Linked DNA regions of Xenopus tropicalis. The protein of the gene in region 1 purifies or fractionates together with the protein of each later gene. This does not show direct contact. Links are inferred from orthologs where the notes say so. Each region holds a gene or a part of one and is shown on either strand. Other genes may lie near its edges.

Evidence for each region. The genes of interacting proteins can lie anywhere in the genome.
Region 2: the proteins of wasf2 (region 1) and brk1 purify together in Homo sapiens (co-immunoprecipitation; 3 studies listed by BioGRID and IntAct, with this or other methods). This does not show direct contact. The link is inferred for Xenopus tropicalis from reciprocal best matches to the Homo sapiens genes WASF2 and BRK1.

What each region holds. Positions count from the first base shown.
Region 1 is NC_030678.2:78,053,358-78,058,188, reverse strand, and holds the start of wasf2 (wiskott-Aldrich syndrome protein family member 2), read left to right. Parts: upstream 1-1,471; 5' UTR 1,472-1,499; intron 1,500-1,502; exon of another isoform or gene 1,503-1,519; intron 1,520-4,831. UniProt on the Homo sapiens protein: Downstream effector molecule involved in the transmission of signals from tyrosine kinase receptors and small GTPases to the actin cytoskeleton. Promotes formation of actin filaments. Part of the WAVE complex that regulates lamellipodia formation.
Region 2 is NC_030680.2:128,857,857-128,862,823, forward strand, and holds the start of brk1 (protein BRICK1), read right to left. Parts: upstream 3,467-4,967; 5' UTR 3,450-3,466; coding exon 3,332-3,449; intron 1,416-3,331; coding exon 1,333-1,415; intron 1-1,332. UniProt on the Homo sapiens protein: Involved in regulation of actin and microtubule organization. Part of a WAVE complex that activates the Arp2/3 complex. As component of the WAVE1 complex, required for BDNF-NTRK2 endocytic trafficking and signaling from early endosomes.

The sequences.
Region 1 (4,831 bases):
TTATTGGACTTTTTGGAACTGTATATTGCATTAATTTCTTCCCACAACAATGCCCCCTTACACATCTTCTTCCCCTGTGCACATCCACACTGCCTCATTCTTCCACCATCATCTATGGGTATATTCACTAAAGGTCAATATGAACTAACCCATGCATTATCACCTGAACTAGGAGGTAATATCTCATCTCTTGGTTCATCAGTGCAGGTCTACATTTGTTATTCTCATGGGTATTACCTCCAGTCAGATAACAATGTGATTTTACACCTAAGGGCTTTGGCACACGGGGAGATTAGTCGCCTGCGACAAATCTCCCTGTTCGCGGGCGACTAATCTCCCCGAAATGCCATCCCACCGGCGAAAACGTAAATCGCCAGTGGGATGGCATACGCGGCGGCGCGATTTCAGTGACATCGTGGAAGTTTCCTCTCAATAATGCTCACCTGATTTAGCCAGCTAAAACCAGCAAAACAATGCCCATGTATGTCATCTATTTTTAACGATAAACTACTTTTTTATGTGTAAAATACAAATTTTTGTTTCAAAAACAGTTTATTCCAAAATGCTGGGGCTGTGGCTAATGCCTATTAATGTTAATACCTCCCAACATTAGAAAAATATAAAGAGGGAAAAAAGAAAATGGCGTGTGTAGCGCCCATTTTTGCAACCACACCCCCTAAATATCACTCCCATTTTGCTAAAAAAAGAGGTGAAATTGCCCTTTACGTTAATAAGTCTCAGTTCCCCCAAGAGACATGTTTAGCTTATTGGTTACAATTGTATCTAAGTGCAAGTGTAGCTTGTTAATTTCTGGGCTCTCTGCCAAAAGTTACTTTTTAAATTAAGTTTGAGAAGCATTGTATCTTTTTAAGCTTCAGTGCAGGAAATCAAAGGGAAAATAGGAACTTTCAAAATCAGGACAGTTGGGTGGTAATAATAATGTGTATCTACTGCAACTCAAAAAGGTGTAAAATCTGGTGACATCTCGTTTTGTTAGGTGCTCACATTATAAGCGATATTAACTTATAAAATAACGCATCTTTACACAACAGTAGAACGTTTAGAAGCACCAGTTTCTCCGAAAAAAAGACCTTGAACCTAAAAGGTACAGCCAACAAGGAAATACTTTAAGCAACTGGAAACAAGTTGGTGACCGTGCCACTACAGCTTACACTTTACAAGTTCATAACACATTCCATAAGTACCTAACTTTTCTGCGTAAAAGTTTAGTTAAAAAAAAAAAATTAGTTTATTACGGCACCGAGCACTCAGCCAATCAGTGAAATAAAGGAAGAAAAATGCAGCCTACCAAAAGCCGAGCGGAAGCACTTTCATCCAATTAAAGATAGGAGGTTAGTGAAAGGAACCAATCTGTGAGGAAGAAACTGCAGCCGAAGCCAATCTTTGCTTTGCGTGGGCGGGACTAGGTGGGGCGGTGCCCGAGTTTGCTTCTGTGATACTAGTTCCCGGTGTCAGAAGCGGAGATCCCCCGGGTACAGGTAAAAAGATTCTTACACTGGTAGAATGTATAGCAGGATGAGCACTGCAAACTTTACTTATACTCTTCTAGATATTGTGCTATATATGGTGTGGCTGAAAAAGGAAACTTGAAATGCTTGATATTTGTGAATTGCATGTAATTACCGAAAATGTAAGTTTATACGATAGTTAACACTGTAATGGTAACAGTGGACAGGAGAAATAACCTCTTTCGCGTTTCTGTAGTAAAGTGTACATGGCATTTCTACTAATGCAGGTTCTTGTAAGTATTGGGAAAGTGCCTAAACAACATAGAAGTAGTGGCCTACATAAAAGTATATAGTGCAGCTGCTGGCTGCTTTGTATGTATGTGATTCTGCTGGACCTACACCTATTTGGGCCCCAGGATATTCTTATTAAGGCCTTTTATTTTCCATCACAAAGCTGGCAGTGACATTAGAAGTTACAGAGGCCCACAGCAAAGTTATTTTAGCCTCCAACCCAAACTTTGGAAATATAGTTTTCATAAACATAGATTAAAACTACTTATCAGTCAGTGTTCCACTGGGCCTTGCATCCTGTCCCTGAAAAACTAGGCCAACTTTTCCATATGCTTTTGTATATACATTCATTTAAATGTTTCAGTGGTTTTTTGAGTTATTTGTAAATGCAATTGCTTTTGAAAGCAGTATCGGTCTGGTTGTTTATATTCTCCGCACTTTTGATTCTGAATAGAAACAAAGTAGCAGCATCAAGTCGGTCAACAGAGATGAGCTGAAGGAGAACTGGCTTCTTCTACTTAGTTTCAAGAGTCAGAACCAGAGAACTGATAGGGATTAACAAACCTGCTTTTAATAGCAAATACAAAAAAACCTAAACCTATGGAATATCTTTAATGTATAGTGAAATGTTGCTTAGAATTACATGTTATTTTATTATGCAATAAATGTTTTTTGGGTAGAAAACCCCTGTAACTTGTTTCTTATAAGGAGACCCAAATTATCCAGAAGTTAACCTTATGACCCAAGAACTGGTTTAGAACAAATTATGCACCTTAAAGGAGACATATCCTATAAAAATTATGAATGTACCAGTGAATTATACTCCTCTAGATATAGAAGGATTGTGCTTAAAAAAGTTGTGTTTCAGACTGATTTATTGAAAAATTCCACAAAAACCCCACTAGCCCCGCCCATCTGTGCCACTTCCTACTGGCTGAATTCTCTGGATGAGCAGGGGAGCCGGCAGCCCTCAGTACACTGCACTGTAGGATAGGAACCAATCAGCAGCTAGGCTGACCTGATAGGGAACTGAAGCCTGTCTTTGCTTGTGGGAGTGCAGGGCTGTGATTGGCTCTCCCCGTCCTACTGTGCTTCTGGCAGGGACCGTTAGGACACGCCCACTCTTCATTGCACACTGGACGGAGAAGTGATAGGATCTATAGGGAGCTCCAATAAAGGGGCCATTGTTACAGATAGGATTAATGTTTAGCCCAAAGGGAAACCAGCACCGTATATTATTCATAATTGCCTACAGGATAAGGGTTTTTCCCATTTATCCAATATGTCTCCTTTAAATACGTTACTGCTGAAGGAAGACTTTTTTTTTTTTTTTATTAAAGATAATATTGGTGGCCAACTCTAAATAGCATGCGCCAATATTAATGTCTATTAATGTCCATTGTTATGGATATAAAGGATTTCTAGCAGTTTCCAGGTACAAATCTCCTATCTATTTATTGAAATAGTTTATTACCACTTATTTACTAAGATAGGTTGATTACTTAATACTGGGACAACCACCATCAGTAGTCTTTATAACAGAAGTGTTTTTTTTTTTTTTTTTCTTTCATAGAGAAATTTATAAACCACGTACTTTGTGAATTCACTTGCTAGTAATTGCGATCACTTGGCATTGATCAAGGCAGTTAACTGACAAATAAGCCCAGATCATATTTGCTTGGTGTCATTGCTACATGGCATAGGGTATAGTTTTCCTGATGCAATTAAAGATATTGTCTATGTTCTCCCTAGATGCATAGGCTTCTGATCAGTAGTTTACTTCTCATCCTTGCCTGTACCCAATAGGGCAGTTGTGTTAACTACTACTCTCTATGTGTGCATGATTTGCACATATTCATAACTTTATTGTAAGAAAGGGCACATTTCAAGCTAAAGCTTTTGTTACAGGATTTGATAGATTTAGAATTTGTTCCATATGGCTGTTGTATGTGGTAGGACCTTGCAGGCCCATGTCTTGTAATATCCATATTAAAGAGGTTATTCACTTTTAAATAAACTTTTCATATGATGTAAAGAGTGATATGTTTTGCATATTGCAGTTGGTCTTCATTTTTTATTTGCAGTTTTTAATTATTTAACTTTTTGTTCAGCAGCCCTCCAGATTGGAATATCTGTTTTATAGGGTCCAATCTAACCTAGCAACCAGGCAGTGGTTTGAAAAAGAGATGGATATGAATGTAGGAGGGCCTAAATAGATAGATAAGAAATACTAAATAGCATTAACAATAAATTTGTAGCCTCACCAGGGTCAGTGATTCCATTTGAAAACTGGAAAGAGTAAGGAAGGCAAATAATTCAAAAACAATCAAAAAAAAAAATTAAGACCTACTGAAAACTTGCTAGGAATAAGCCATTCTATACATACTAAATGTAAACCACCCCTTTAAGATCAATGTGTAGTGAGGCTTTACTGATCATTTAATTATTCTGAATTTGTATTTTGGTGTCAATGTGACTGCTCTTTAATGTTACCCATTAACCAGGAAGGCTTACAGTAATAGGTCAGTAACTGTTACATCGTTTCTATTTAGTGCACAGATAGTTGGACTATTTTTTTTTTTGTTCAAGTTATTGGTTCAACCTTTGGTGAGTGTTCTATAGGCAAAATATAAGGAAACTTTCCTGTATCAGTCCTAGTTCCCAGACTAGGATATATGTTTTCAGCACAAAACTCACCCTAACTGACATTCAAGATTAGTCTGAATCCTTCCTGCCTTGCTGTAGGCCAGGGATCCCCAACCATTTATACACGTGAGCCACATTCAAATGGAAAAAGTTTTGGAGAGCAACACAAGCATGAAAAATGTTCCTGGTGGTGCCAATAAGAGCTATAATTGACTATTTGATAGTCCCTATGTTGACTGGCAGCCTACAGAAGGCTCTGTTTTGCAATTGAACTGGATTTTTATGCCACCTAACCAGAAATTCAAAAATAAGCACCTGCTTTGACGCCACTGGGAGCAGAAATGGTTTTCGAGCAACATGTTGCTCACGAGCCACTGGTTGGGGATCACTGCTCTAGGCCTACCAACAGTAGGCCAGCCCTACGA
Region 2 (4,967 bases), on another chromosome or scaffold:
GCATGTCCTAGTGTCCTGTTTTTTGAAGTTCAAACATTACTTGATAGACTAAAGTGGAGCTCGGATGGTTTCCCAGGCGAAACAAAGACATTTAGCTTTACTCAGCACAGGAATTATTCTGACATTCCAGAGGAGAAGCATTAGGAAAGGGGGGAGGGGGAAGAAAGGAAGAACAATGTGAGATTCTAAGGGCAACTACATGATAGTTCAACTATTTAATTACAATCAGAAACTAAAGATTTATTTAAAGAAATAAATAGAGGTTTAAGTGCTTACATACATGGCTGACATGTTGCATTTTAAAAAGGGCCCTTGAAGTGTAATTAGAAGTAAGGCTATGCTGGCCTGTGTCCTATTTTGCAATTTATTTAAAAGGCCACTATACCTTTATTTGCCATCTGCATATATTAAATTCAAATATCCATGTTTTAAAGTATGCTTTTCTTGTTTTAGCTTTATTAGCCTAGGTTGTATGAAGGTATTACTAGCACACCTAAGCAGCCATTGTTATTTAGCTTCCTTCCCTAGGCCTCCACTTGTGTTACAATACAAATACATGAAGCCAGAGTGTGTGTGTGTGTCTAGGGCTGCATATATTACTGGGATGTGGCCATAAGGGTACAATGCCCAAGGTTGTCACAGCTAGCACAGCGAGTTAATATAATGCTATACGCCCTTTTGTGAGCACCATTCTGCTAGCGGGTATAGTGGCCCTTTAAGTAATTTTTAAGCTGCCATTTTCAAGAGCAAATTGCTGAAGCTGACTGGCAGAGGGCCAAGGATTTATTTGATATGCAGATGGTTTCTCCAATAGCCACCCCTCAGTCTCAAGGCATTTGCTGCTGTACCGACAGCCGGGGAGATGGTACATGTGCCCTTTGGCACAGAAGAGCTTTATTAGTTCATTGTGAATAAGCATTTGATTCTCTTGCTTATCCAACATGAAGCTTGCTTAAAAGCAAAAAGGGGGCTTTACACATAGCCGGCATATGGAGAGTTCAGGTGGCATTCAGTGCATGTCAGCCAGCCAGTAAATTAACAGTGGGGGCAAAAGTATTGGGCAATATATCTCCATTATATATTTCCATTAGATGGTCACATAGGGTGTTTCAATCAATGCTATTTGTTTCAGTGGCTAAAAGACCCACAGATTTCTGGGGGTTACATCACAGGAAGTCACAAGGTCAGCATGTACAAGTCATATCAGGTCAAGGGTGATCTATAAAAGGTTCCTATTAATGCCATGGTTGCTTCCTAGTGACAAACAAAATATCAGTATGCCCCATGTGACATTGTGCCCCCCACCAAATCAAAACATATAACATTACATACCCTTGCTTCTATATACTCAATTCTTCTTTCTAATGCAGTCAGCTTTTCATTTAGGGTTGCCAGTCGTGAGCGACAAGACATATCTTGAAGAAAGCAGAGTATAAGGTTACCACTGACCAACGCATTTCACAAGTCAGCCATAGAGAGCACTGCCTATATTTGCAGTGTAACAAAAAATAAAAGATACCGATAGACTTACATGCATTGCATTAACAGGAACTACTACATTTGCAGGAACTGGGCAAAAAAAAGGGGAACTCCACCCAAACACAATTTAAGCTTTTTAAAAAGAAAACATAATTTCAAGCAATACATCAATTAAAAAAATATGCAGTTTTTTTTATGATTTTTAATATGGTTTGGAACAGTTCCCTAAGCCCAGCCCCCTGTTCCTCTGCAGATCTACTTTGAGACTTAAATAAAGTAGTCGGCTGCCCTCAGCCTGCATCCTCCCAATCCCATAATCCTTCTGAGGGAGCAGCCCTGACGCCGCCTCCCCTTTCCCACCCTGCACTTACAACTACAGCATCAGTGGGTCAAATGGGTGGCGGAATCACTAGTGCACAGACCACTTACCAGAGGCAGCTTTTTGCCACCCCTGGTAACTGGCCGATCACACCATGTGTGGTGTGCCTTGCCTCATTGCAGGAGTGGCCCTGTCTCTGATTTTGTTATTTCTTGCACTAAACATGGCAAAATTAGAAAATGGAACTAAAATCACAGTTTCCTTCCTGGTCCTAAAGAGCAATGTCAACCAATACTCTCAATATTAGTGAAATTAGTCCCAATTTCTAATTCTGCGGTGCTTACAAAAAACCATAAACGTTTCCTTACAGTCAAAAGTATGTTCAGCACAAGACCTATATATTATCCAATGTTTAAAAAGAAGGCATACGGTCCCTTTAACCATGGCACTATGCTTCACACATGAGGCAGATGTGGCACAATAAGGCAAAGGCACCCAGCAACAAAGTGTCCCTAATTTGCAAATACTGCCAACCAGGATGTACTCTGTGGTTCAACCATGCAGATTCATGTACTGCTTAGAAAAGGTGGCCAATAGGGATGCACCAAATCCATTATTTTGGGGATTTGGCAGAACCCCAAATCCTTCGTGAACAATTTGGCTGAATACCGAACTGACAATTGGACAATTGAGGGTTAAAAAAAAAAAAATCACCTGATTTTAAGAATTAGGTTTGGCGAGAGGCATAGATTTGTGTGAGAATCTTGGCAGAATCCTGGATTCAGTGCATCCCAGTGACCCAATTACTAGTGGATGTGAGGAAAGAAGCATTAGAGGCAGGTCCATTAGCCACCATCACCATGATCACTGCATCATTCCTACAGCCTGTGCGGGCCCTCCATCCCCTGCTCACTGTAATGTACCTGCTTTCACTCACACAGTGTAACATGCTGCTTTCATTCTCCCCCTCTCCCTGCTCATAGACATATGGGGCTTATTTATTACAGAGTGAAAGCCAACATCACTAGGGATGTTGCCCATAGCAACTAATCAGCAATTAGATTTGAACAGTTAGAGAACAAAAGCAAAGATCTGACGGTTACTATGGGCAATATCCCCAATAAGGTTACTAATTACACCCCCAGTGTAAATGCTGCTTTCACTCTTACACTTCACTCTATATATAGTGTAATTACCCACTGCAATGTACATGCTGGGATCTATATAGTACAGTGTATAAATTGCTTTTGTTTGACACAAGTAATGGAGTAGCAAGCCATGGTTATATAGTGTAGGCACCATGGCCATTGGTAAGATAATAACAAGGCGACACTGTCACACTGGAGGCTGTACAGCTACTGGGATGCACAAGGCCCAGAGGATTCTGGGAGCTGCAGTTAACAGGGCAGGATGGAGAGGCTGGCATCCTATACACAGGCGCTGCCCATCGCCCAGGCATACAGTGCCCAGCCCTGCCGGCCCTACGCCCTAGGAAGGATCCCCTGCAGGACACAGCGCCGCCCCCACTCTCACCAAATGAGTTCAAGAAGTCGGCGATTTTCTTGATGCTGCTGGTGATCACCTCGATGTACTCCCGGTTGGCCCAATCCTGGTGAATCTCTCTCTGCACAGGATCCTCCTGACTGGCCATTTTAGCCTCTCTCCCTATCTATAGCACAGCCAAGGGAAAAATACAGCGTCACCTACTGCGCATGTCAGAACGGAAGCGCCCCCAGCCTTCACCAGTGGCCGCCATCTTTAAAGTGGACTCAAATGAATAATGCAAGCATCAAGAACATAAGTGAGACGTGAACAACCGGAAGTTACGGCTTATAAAGGTTCAAATAACAAATGTCACTATATTTGAGTGTTGTTCAAACCTGTGCTTTCCACCCCGAGTGGTTTTTACAAGCCGATACAAATATGTCTGCCGCTGCGTCGGTAGGCTCTTCTGCGCCTGCGTATCGGCCGAAGCGGAACTGACGTGCGGAATGATGACGGGCGTATGAAACAGGTAAGGGCTGGTGCAGGTGCAGGGGGTTATAAGCACAGGTATTATGGCGATTGGGTAGCTGCTGGATTGTGTAAATCCCCCGGGAACATGGGATTAGGCGTTTCGGCTGTCCGATAGTCGTGCGGGAATCCATTGACTCTGAAGCTCTCTGCAACACTCATGACGTAGCCTGGAGGTAGCGGTGATGTAATATGGCAGCTTTCTCTAGAGACCTTTATTCCCTGAAATCAAACACTGCATGCTGGGAGAGCGGATACTATCTTACAGGAATAGATAATAAAGGGTAACTAAAATTGCCTGTAATTAGGATGGCAGAGCAAATATGTTCATTGTTGGAGAGATACTACTTGAATGCACTGTATGATTAAGCACAACCATAAGCTGTTATTAGTTATAGGCTTCTTTCCTGTACTGTTTGCCTCATTATGGACTATGGATACTGAAGTTTATAGCTACCTGCTAGCTGCTAGCTGCCCCTTTACTAGTATGGGGGAAAACTGGCCAAAGGGCATTAACTCATAGCAGCCGGTTATTCGGTTTTATTTTAATAACTACATTAAACCAGTCAAAGCTAATGTTTTGTGTTTGAATGAAAAGAAATATTGGTGCAACAACATGGTACAGGTATGGGGCCCGTTATCCAGAATGCTCGGAACCTTGGGTTTTCTGGATAAGGGGTCTTTCTGTAATTTGGATCTCCACAACTTAAGTCTACTAAAAGATTATTTAACCATTAAATAAACCCAATAGGGCTGTTCTGCCCCCAATAAGGGGTAATTATATCTTAGTTGGGATCAAATACAGGTACTGTTTTATTATTACAGAGAAAAGGGAATCATTTAACCATGAAATAAACCCAATAGGGCTGTTCTGCCCCCAATAAGGGGTAATTATATCTTAGTTGGGATCAAGTACAGGTACTGTTTTATTATTACAGAGAAAAAGGAAATACATTTTTAAAAATTAGAATTATTTGCTTATAATGGAGTCTATGTGAGCTGGCCTTTCCATAATTCGAATGTGTTGGTAATGTGTTTCTGGATAACCGATTCCATACCTGTACTGATATTGTTTTACATTAATGTTTAATTAAATTATCCTTATACAGGTATTGGACCCCTTATCCGGAAACCCATTATCCAGAAAGTTACGAAT